Linked DNA regions of Alligator mississippiensis. The protein of the gene in region 1 binds, or shares a complex with, the protein of each later gene. Links are inferred from orthologs where the notes say so. Each region holds a gene or a part of one and is shown on either strand. Other genes may lie near its edges. The genes, in order: APLNR and APLN.

Region 1 (3,906 bases):
GGTGCTGTGGTTGAGTTCGGATGTCACTGGGGTTTGGTTCTGATGGGTCTGGCCCCTCTTGTAGACATGCTCTCCATCAGGTGATCAACAACAGAACAAGATGCTTCTCTGTTCCCCACATGCTGGGAAGCTCAGAGAATATACTCCCACAGTCCACCCATCCACAGTCTCATGGATTGGATGCTCCCCTTCCTCCCCCAACCCCTCTGACTCTCCTGGGCCTTGCTCTGGCACAGAGAATACAGGCAGCATATAGAGGTCCAAACAGTCCTGGTGCCATGACAGACTTCAAGCCCCATACTTTTGGGGCTCCTGGCTCCTCTCCAGTCAATGCCTGCCCCCGGCCCTTTCTTGATGCATGCAGCGAGACACACAGTCAAAGCTCCTCCTGTAGCCCACTGGCCCTAGGGTATGGCAAGAGGCTGACAGTGTAGCCTAGTCCCTAGTGGGTAGAGCTGAGGTCTCATCCTGTATGCACTAATGAACAGCTGCATGAACTTGGTGATGTCATTTTGCCTCCCCCCGCACCTCAGTTTGCCTGTCTGCTACCAGGCAATGTTACTGTTTTTTGTAAAGAACATTGAGACCTACTGATGGCAAGAGCTACTGGGGGCAGGTTACAAAGTAAAGGGGTATATGATACACATTTCCAAAAGTGCCCCTGCCATCCATATGAGAGGGTATGGGGTGCAAGGGTCACCTCATCAGACTCCACTTAGGGGAAGGGGGGAGGCTTTTCTATCTACTCCTCCCAACACACAACCACAGGGCCAGTTCTTCGCTCAAGGCTTCTCAGACCTTTACTTCCTGCTGCTAAATTGAGAAAGAAGGCAGACAGTTACGGGGGGGTGAAAGAAGGGACTGCAGCCCCACGTCTTCCTCCATCCAACCTCAAAAGGTACAATGAATTTCCAGAGGGCCAGGAGCAAGGCTTTCAGGAGAGGCAGCAGCACTAACCATTCTGTTCAGCCTCAGAGCACAGCAGGGGTTGCAAAAGCAAGGTCTAGACTCTAGAGAAAGAGGTAGACCGGAGCTGGATGATATGGGGTATCCTCCAGCCTCCCCACCCATGCCCCAAAAGCAATGAGAAACAGACAGCAAATCATGCTGAAACCTCTCCAGAGCAGGGAGAGAGGGCTTCACCTCAGCTAACCTCTGTCCCTAGCTATAAGCTAGGTCAAAGAGAGATTCAGCATGACTATGGAACTTTATCCATACCAGCCCTGCAACAGAGGAAGACAGGGAGAATGGGAGAAAGAGAGAGAAAGATGGAGGAAGAGAGAGAGGAGAGAAATGAAGAGGAAAACCTGGGAAAGAGGAGGAGAATTCATGAAAGGGAAGGTGAAGGACAAATGAAAGAAGCTGAGATGGAGTGAGAGTGAAGAACAGAAGGTGGGAAGGGAGAATGAGGAGAAAAAGATGGGTCTGGCTCTACTTGTCCCTGGTAGCAGGCTTACTCTTAGCCCCGAACCAGCGTATCATGAGTGTCTGGGCTCACCTTCTCTCTCTGTGTCTCCCCACCCTTCCCTGGAAGGTTCTGGCTGTGGCCAGAGGAGTAGCTGGCTGATTTATCCCCACCAGAGCCTGACCAGCGGCCCTGGCTGCAGCCCAGGACAGTGGTGCAAGCCTGCCGGAAGCGGGGGTCAAAGAAGGCATAGAGGAAGGGATTCAGGCAGCTGTTGATGTAGGCCACGCAGGTGCAGTAAGGGTGGAAGTTGTTGAGGAAGGTGTGGAAACTGCAGGACCAGGGCATCACCTCCAGGTCCATCAGCACATATATAGTCTTCACAAGGTGGTAGGGCAACCAGCAGACAGCAAAAGTGACCACCAGCACAATGATGATGGTCAGCAGCCTCTTCCTCTTTTGTAGCCCCTCATTGCGTTCCTTCCGAAAGTGTCCAGCAATGGTGCGTGCAATGAAGAAGTAGCAGGTCAGCATGACAGCAAAAGGAATGACAAAGCCCAGCAGTGTGGAGGACAGGCCCAGCCCCACCTCCCATGCCCCCTCAGTCCCATTGGCCACCATACTTGAGTAGTCCATGTAGCAAGTGATCTTGTCCTCCCCACGTAGCATGGCTGCCTCACGGAGGATCAAGGCAGGCAGGGCCAACATAGCCGCCAAGACCCACAAGGTGATGGTGGCCACCAGCCCACTGGCCCGTGATCTCAGTTTGGTGCTAGCCATTGGCCGTACAATAGCCAAATAGCGGTCAAAGCTGAGTCCTGTTAGGCAAAAGACGCTGGCGTACATGTTGACAAAGACCAGATAGCTGCTAAGTTTGCAAGCGAAGGTGCCAAAGGGCCAGTGATAATTCAGGCAGGTGTAGGCAGCCCACAATGGCAGTGTGGCTACAAAGGTCAGGTCAGCCATGGCTAGGTTGGCAATGAAGGTGTCGGCTGAGCGCCGCTTCTCGCGGCCCCCCCGAAAGATGGTCCACAGCACCAATCCATTGCCTGAGGTGCCCAGAAGGAAGACCAGCAGGTAAATGGTGGGAATGAGGGTCAAGGATGGACTCCACTCTGTGTACTCACAGTCACTAGTCTGGTTGTCAAAATAACTGCTGTCGTCATACCCCAGGTCCTCCATGCTCAGGGTCCTGACTCCAGGGATCGGAGAAGGATGCTAGAAGGTATCTTCTTCAGCCTGCTCCCTCTCTGGATAGAGGCTCTTGGGATGTAGCCTCACCACGTTTGCAGTCCCTTCTTTGCTGTCCAAGTTGGGTATGGGGGAGTGGGGGGTGAGTTTGAGTCCTCCGTGCTCAGCTCATTCCTTCTTTCTTTTCTTCTTTTTTCCCTCGCTTGCAAAGCCTCAGACAGTTGTGGCCAGATCCTTTCCTGCCTTCTCTCACATGCAAGCTCAGAGGCAGCTGTTCCTTCCTTTTACCATTCAGTCCACAGGCTTGTGCTTTAGGATCTTTAGTTACAACCTCCCCTTCACTCTCCCCTCCCCTCCCACCCCACCCTGTCCCTCCCCTTTGCCTCTCACACCACATCCTTATGTCAAGTAGACAAACAGACTCCAGCAGTGCAGGGCAGCATAGGGCAGCTCAGTCTGCTACTTGCATCCACAAATGTCCACCTCCTATCCCTCTGTCCCAGCTCCCTGGGGGCTAGGGTAAGAATGAGGATTGAAGCCAGCTGGAGCTGCTGGGGGGAAGGGGGGAGCTAGTGCTCAGTGTGAAATTTCACAGATACCCTTAGCAACCCCACTAAGTAAGTCAGCCCTGTTTGTCTGTCCCTCAGCCTCCTTCTGCCATTTCCAGTGTTTGGTTTCAGGGGTTTTATTGGCAGGAAAGGGATACTGTCAAAGCAAATACATCAGCCCTGGTTAGTCCCATCTCTGTGAGATCTAAGATCATGTCCTAATGCAGTGGTACTCAGTGCCCTCTGGATCCACCAGGGGACTTGTTTCTAATAATGTCTCTACCACGTTACTGAACATGCACTGGACAGGACTCCTAGTGCATAGCGTGCTCCTATCTGCAGTGCAACCTTTTTCCTCTCCATGTTTTCCCATAATACTAGGTCTCTGAGCCTGGCTGTTATTACAGTGTAGGTGAGATATATATCTATTTGCACTACAGTTTGTGCCACATTAGCCACACTGTCCTGGGTGAATGTCTCCTCATGTAATTCCAAAGTTCAGCCTAGGCAGGACCTACTCACATTCCCATGTGTCCCCACTATTTTACTTTTATTTATTCCTGTGACCACACGCAACAGATAAGTTCAAAAGTGCTGGTAAAATCCTTACAGGAGTTACAGTGTTGAAGTCTAGGAGCCATACTTCAAAAAAGATGCTTAAAAATTGAGGCTGTCACCCACAGTGGTTAGGATGACTCAGCAGTAGTCTAAATTCATAACAGTCTGGGCTAGTACTAGTGATTGCACTTTATTAAGCCAACA
Region 2 (3,906 bases), on another chromosome or scaffold:
TGGGGCATGTCATGACTTACCGCCCACCCCGCTCCCCAGCCTTAACCCTACTTTCTCCTTTATGGCTGGATGGTTTGCAGGGGAGGAAGGGGAGGGGCGGGGGAAGGGGTCCTGGAGCTGTAGCCCTGGAGTCCTGGTCTTCTGTTCTGCAAAAGACTATGACCCCCACATCAAAGCATTTAGGAAGGCACCCCAGCACCATAGCCACCAGCCTGCTTAGCAAAGCCTTGCTGTCACTATATGGTACAGCATGGACACTACAAAGAGCTGTTCTTGGAAGGACAGGACTCTGGCACTCAGAGCTGGGACTGGGGCAGAGTAGAAAAACGCAGTCTCAAAGCACCTCCCTGGCAAAATTAAGAGTGGGAACAATCTTTTAATCTTTGTTAGCAACACAATCATCTCCAATGTGTGTAGTGGGGGAAATGCCTTCTCCTAAGAGACAAGGGAAGTCCAGGCTAGTCTCTGGGAACAGAGAACTGGACAGCAGGAGGCCTGAAGCAGGCATTTGCATGAGCTGCTTTCCCTGCAATTCCTGCAAGTAGGTGCTGTCCAAGGCTAATTTAGCTGCATGCAATACTAACAACCATTTTGGTTTCACTCACGAGGGTCTTTTGTATAGAGCAGCAACAGTATCCCTCAGAATCTTCTCCTGAAACAAGGAGGAAAGAAAAGTCCCTCCCAGCACTTACTGCCCATCAGGCAGAAGCAGTATGGAAAGATGTTCCTCATGGGGTATTTTCAGAAGTCAACCACCCTACAGCTGTGGGTTGATTCCAACCTCCCACCCCAGCAGATGGAGGCTTTGGTTCCGCAGTGTGCCCAGTTCTCCCTTGGGCTGGGCTACCATGCATGCATTCTGGCTGCTCCGGTTCACTCAGAACCTTCACCATGCTGTACGCATCAGCAACAGCCTTTCCTCTTGGACTCTCTGCCCTCTCCATAACCCCATCCTTCCATGGGACAGCTAAGGGCATTCACCTGTTGTCCACTTGCTTCACTCTCCCTTGATGCTGTATGGTCCCTAGCACTTAGTTAGGTTACATGGCAGTAGTGCCAAGAGGCCTGTCAGGTCATCATCCCAGGCACTGCTCATAGTGGATGACAGTCTCTTTCCCAGACAGCTTAACTCTTGTCCTTTTGACCAGAACAGGTGGCTGAGACATACAAGGCAAGCATGGAGTGTGGCAGGCGAGTGGATGTTCAGCTGGGCAGGGCCTTTACAAGGTTGGGCTGTACACATTACACATCCATGCTTAGGGAAGCTACTACCCTAATGCTGCCTACTTTTCTGCTCTAGAGACGCAGATGTCCCTCTGCTTGACTGGCACTATGGCAGCTTCCTCCAGGCTCAACATTAGTTAAACTACAGGTGCTTGAAGCATCTTAGTGGCTGAATAGAGCTGGTACTCCTTGCTTCTACTCCAGGCATTTCCCAGGTGCCCCCTCCACTGTTCTGGTAGGTTGGGGGAATAAGGGGAAATGGAAGTAGAAGGCATCAGACTGCACTGGAAGGCTGGCTTAAAACTTAGGGGGCAACATTACTGAATGAGTCCCAGATAGCCTCTGTGACCCACCTTCAGCCTGGGGCCAGAAAGCCAGAAGCTACAGGATCCCAGCTACTCAGGCAATCCTGGCAGTACCTGGCAAGTGGCAGCTGCCAGCAGACACAATTGAGTGGGAGCCAGTTTAACAACTAGTGTCACCAGGCTGACAGTGAGCACAGCACCCCTTACTACAGACCAGACTCAACTGGGACCTGTAGGTGATTGCCTGGTGTGGTGACTGTCCGTCTCAGGAGTGAGCCAAGCCCCAAGCTGTGCCTATAAGAGACTGGCCTTGACTGCAAGTCACTGTGGGCAGCAGCTCTGTCAGGGGGACCCCTAACACTCAGGATCAGGTGTGCGTCTCCCCATCTCCCCTCCCTGGCTCAAGAGCACCAAACAGCATGTCTCCAGTGGACTACCCCATGCCTTCAAGGTAGGTCTCCAAGGGGCTACAGGGTCCCTTTAACCCTCTGCCTCCAGGGGCTGGTTTCACCCCCCGCATAGGTGCGAGCTCCGGGCACCTCCAGGCAGCACGTGCCCGTGCCCCCGCGCCCGAGCACCAGCCCCAGTGCCTGGCCCCCCCAAGGGCTGCCTCAAGCCTGCGCTGTCGGGCGGCTCGGGGCTGGACTAGCTCCGGAGCTGCAGGCTGCTCGGAGCCCGCCTGCGGGGTCAGGGCGCCGGGGCCGGGGCCGGGGCTCCGCAACAGGTTCCCGCCGCAGGGCCCGGACCGCCGGCTGCGCCGGGCCCGCAGCCCCCGCCCCCGCCCCGCCCCGCCCCTTCCCCGCGCGGTGCCAGCGGCCCCGGGTGTCCCGCCGTCCTTCAGGCCGGGCCCCGCGCCAGGACAGGCCTGCGGCGGCAAGGCTGGGCCGAGAGAGCGGGGCGGGGCGGGGCGGGGCGGGGCGGCGGCTCCGCTACCTGACGCAGGTGTCCCGGGCCGCCGCCCGCTGCGCAACAAGTGCCCGGCGGGCGGGGGCCCCGGCGGCGACTCACCTCCGCAGCCCGCGCTGACGGCGAGCCAGAGCAGCAGCAGCGCCAGCAGCCAGCGCCGCATGCCCATGGTCCGCCTGCACCGCTCGGGCTGCCGCTGCCTGCGCGTCGGCGCGGTGTGGGCAGGAGCCGGGCCGGGTCCGCCAGGCGGCTGCTGCGGGAGCGACTGCGCCCGCTCGCGCGGGGGGCTGCATTTGTAGGAGCCGCGCGGCCTGGCTCCCGGCCCGCCCGGTCATGTGGCCGTGGCCGGGGCGCCTCCCCCGCGGGACGGGCGCGGGGATGGCGCTCAGCCCGCCCCCGCCCCGCGCAGGGCTCCCCCCACGGCCCCCGGCGCCGCAGGGGTGTCGCGCACATACGGGCAGGGGCTGGGCCCCGGGGCCACCTCAGCTACAGCAGCAGCGGCCCGCGGGGGCGGCCACCGCCGGGAAGGCGGAGATGAGCCCCGATGCCTGCTGGGCAGGGGTGCCTGGTGGGGTGCAACAGAGAGAAGGAAGGAAAGCCCTCGGCCCTTCAGGTCTCACTCACGGTCAGTCAAAGAGAGGCAGAGGTCATCTACTCCACACCCCTGTCTCAGGCAGCAGCATCCCAGGGTGACCCTACTGGGCCTGCTCAGATCATACAAACAGCATTTGCCCTCCAAGATCCCCATGTGTTCAGCAGTGCAGGTGAGGGCCTAGGGCCAGGGGATAAGCCTTGACAGGCTGGATCCTCTTTTGCCTGACTGCTCAGTGCCTTTGTTTTCTGTACATAGCAGGTATAACGGCTGGGGTGAGGAATGTGGCACACTTTCACCCATGAAGAGGCGCAAGAGAGTTACAGAGGACACCCACATCCCTGCAGATGCCACATGCAAAGCCAGCCATCTGGATGACAAGAGCCTGAAACGGAGAGCTTCCTCTCTGTTCTTGAAAATGGGAGTGAGTGTCTCATCAGACTCCGTGAGACCACTTGTCCTCACTTCTAAATCCCCATTTCTCCAGGACCCAAGTAGGTGACAGACATTTGTGGCTCTGTTCACAGCACCTCTGAAAGGTAGGATTCCTTATGCCGCCTCTCTGGTATCACACAAGAAGTTTGTCTCAGAGCTCAGAATTGAACGTAGATGTCTAGAGACCTAGTTTCATGCGTTACCCATAAGCCCAGGCTTTTTCAGAGGGCATCACACTGATTGATACAAACACTAGAATGGCAGATCCCCAAATGCTTAGATGTATGCAGGACTATCCTTTATCTGAAAATCTGTAATGAAAGTTTGTTATTTGTCATTCATTAGTGTTTAAAATAGTTATCCAATCATGGGGCTGAACCAAAGCCATGTGACTCAGGTGACCAATCCCAAAGCACAAGTAATGAATATCAAATGTTGACTATT

What was found.
Region 2: the proteins of APLNR (region 1) and APLN are in contact, whole or in part, in a cryo-EM structure (PDB 8XZG), measured with the Homo sapiens proteins. The link is inferred for Alligator mississippiensis from reciprocal best matches to the Homo sapiens genes APLNR and APLN. Residues at the interface, in NP_005152.1 of Homo sapiens: Tyr35, Phe78, Trp85, Tyr88, Thr89, Tyr93, Ser106, Ile109, Phe110, Met113, Pro163, Val164, Arg168, Gln180, Cys181, Tyr182, Met183, Tyr185, Glu194, Glu198, Leu201, Gly202, Ser205, Tyr264, Lys268, Tyr271, Ser275, Cys281, Asp284, Leu285; in NP_059109.3 of Homo sapiens: Arg66, Pro67, Arg68, Leu69, Ser70, His71, Lys72, Gly73, Pro74, Met75, Pro76, Phe77.

What each region holds. Positions count from the first base shown.
Region 1 is NC_081825.1:172,971,065-172,974,970, reverse strand, and holds the start of APLNR (apelin receptor), read right to left. Parts: upstream 2,908-3,906; 5' UTR 2,588-2,907; coding exon 1,499-2,587; intron 1-1,498. UniProt on the Homo sapiens protein: G protein-coupled receptor for peptide hormones apelin (APLN) and apelin receptor early endogenous ligand (APELA/ELA), that plays a role in the regulation of normal cardiovascular function and fluid homeostasis.
Region 2 is NC_081831.1:39,783,192-39,787,097, forward strand, and holds the start of APLN (apelin), read right to left. Parts: upstream 2,706-3,906; 5' UTR 2,605-2,705; coding exon 2,538-2,604; intron 1-2,537. UniProt on the Homo sapiens protein: Peptide hormone that functions as endogenous ligand for the G-protein-coupled apelin receptor (APLNR/APJ), that plays a role in cadiovascular homeostasis. Functions as a balanced agonist activating both G(i) protein pathway and beta-arrestin pathway of APLNR.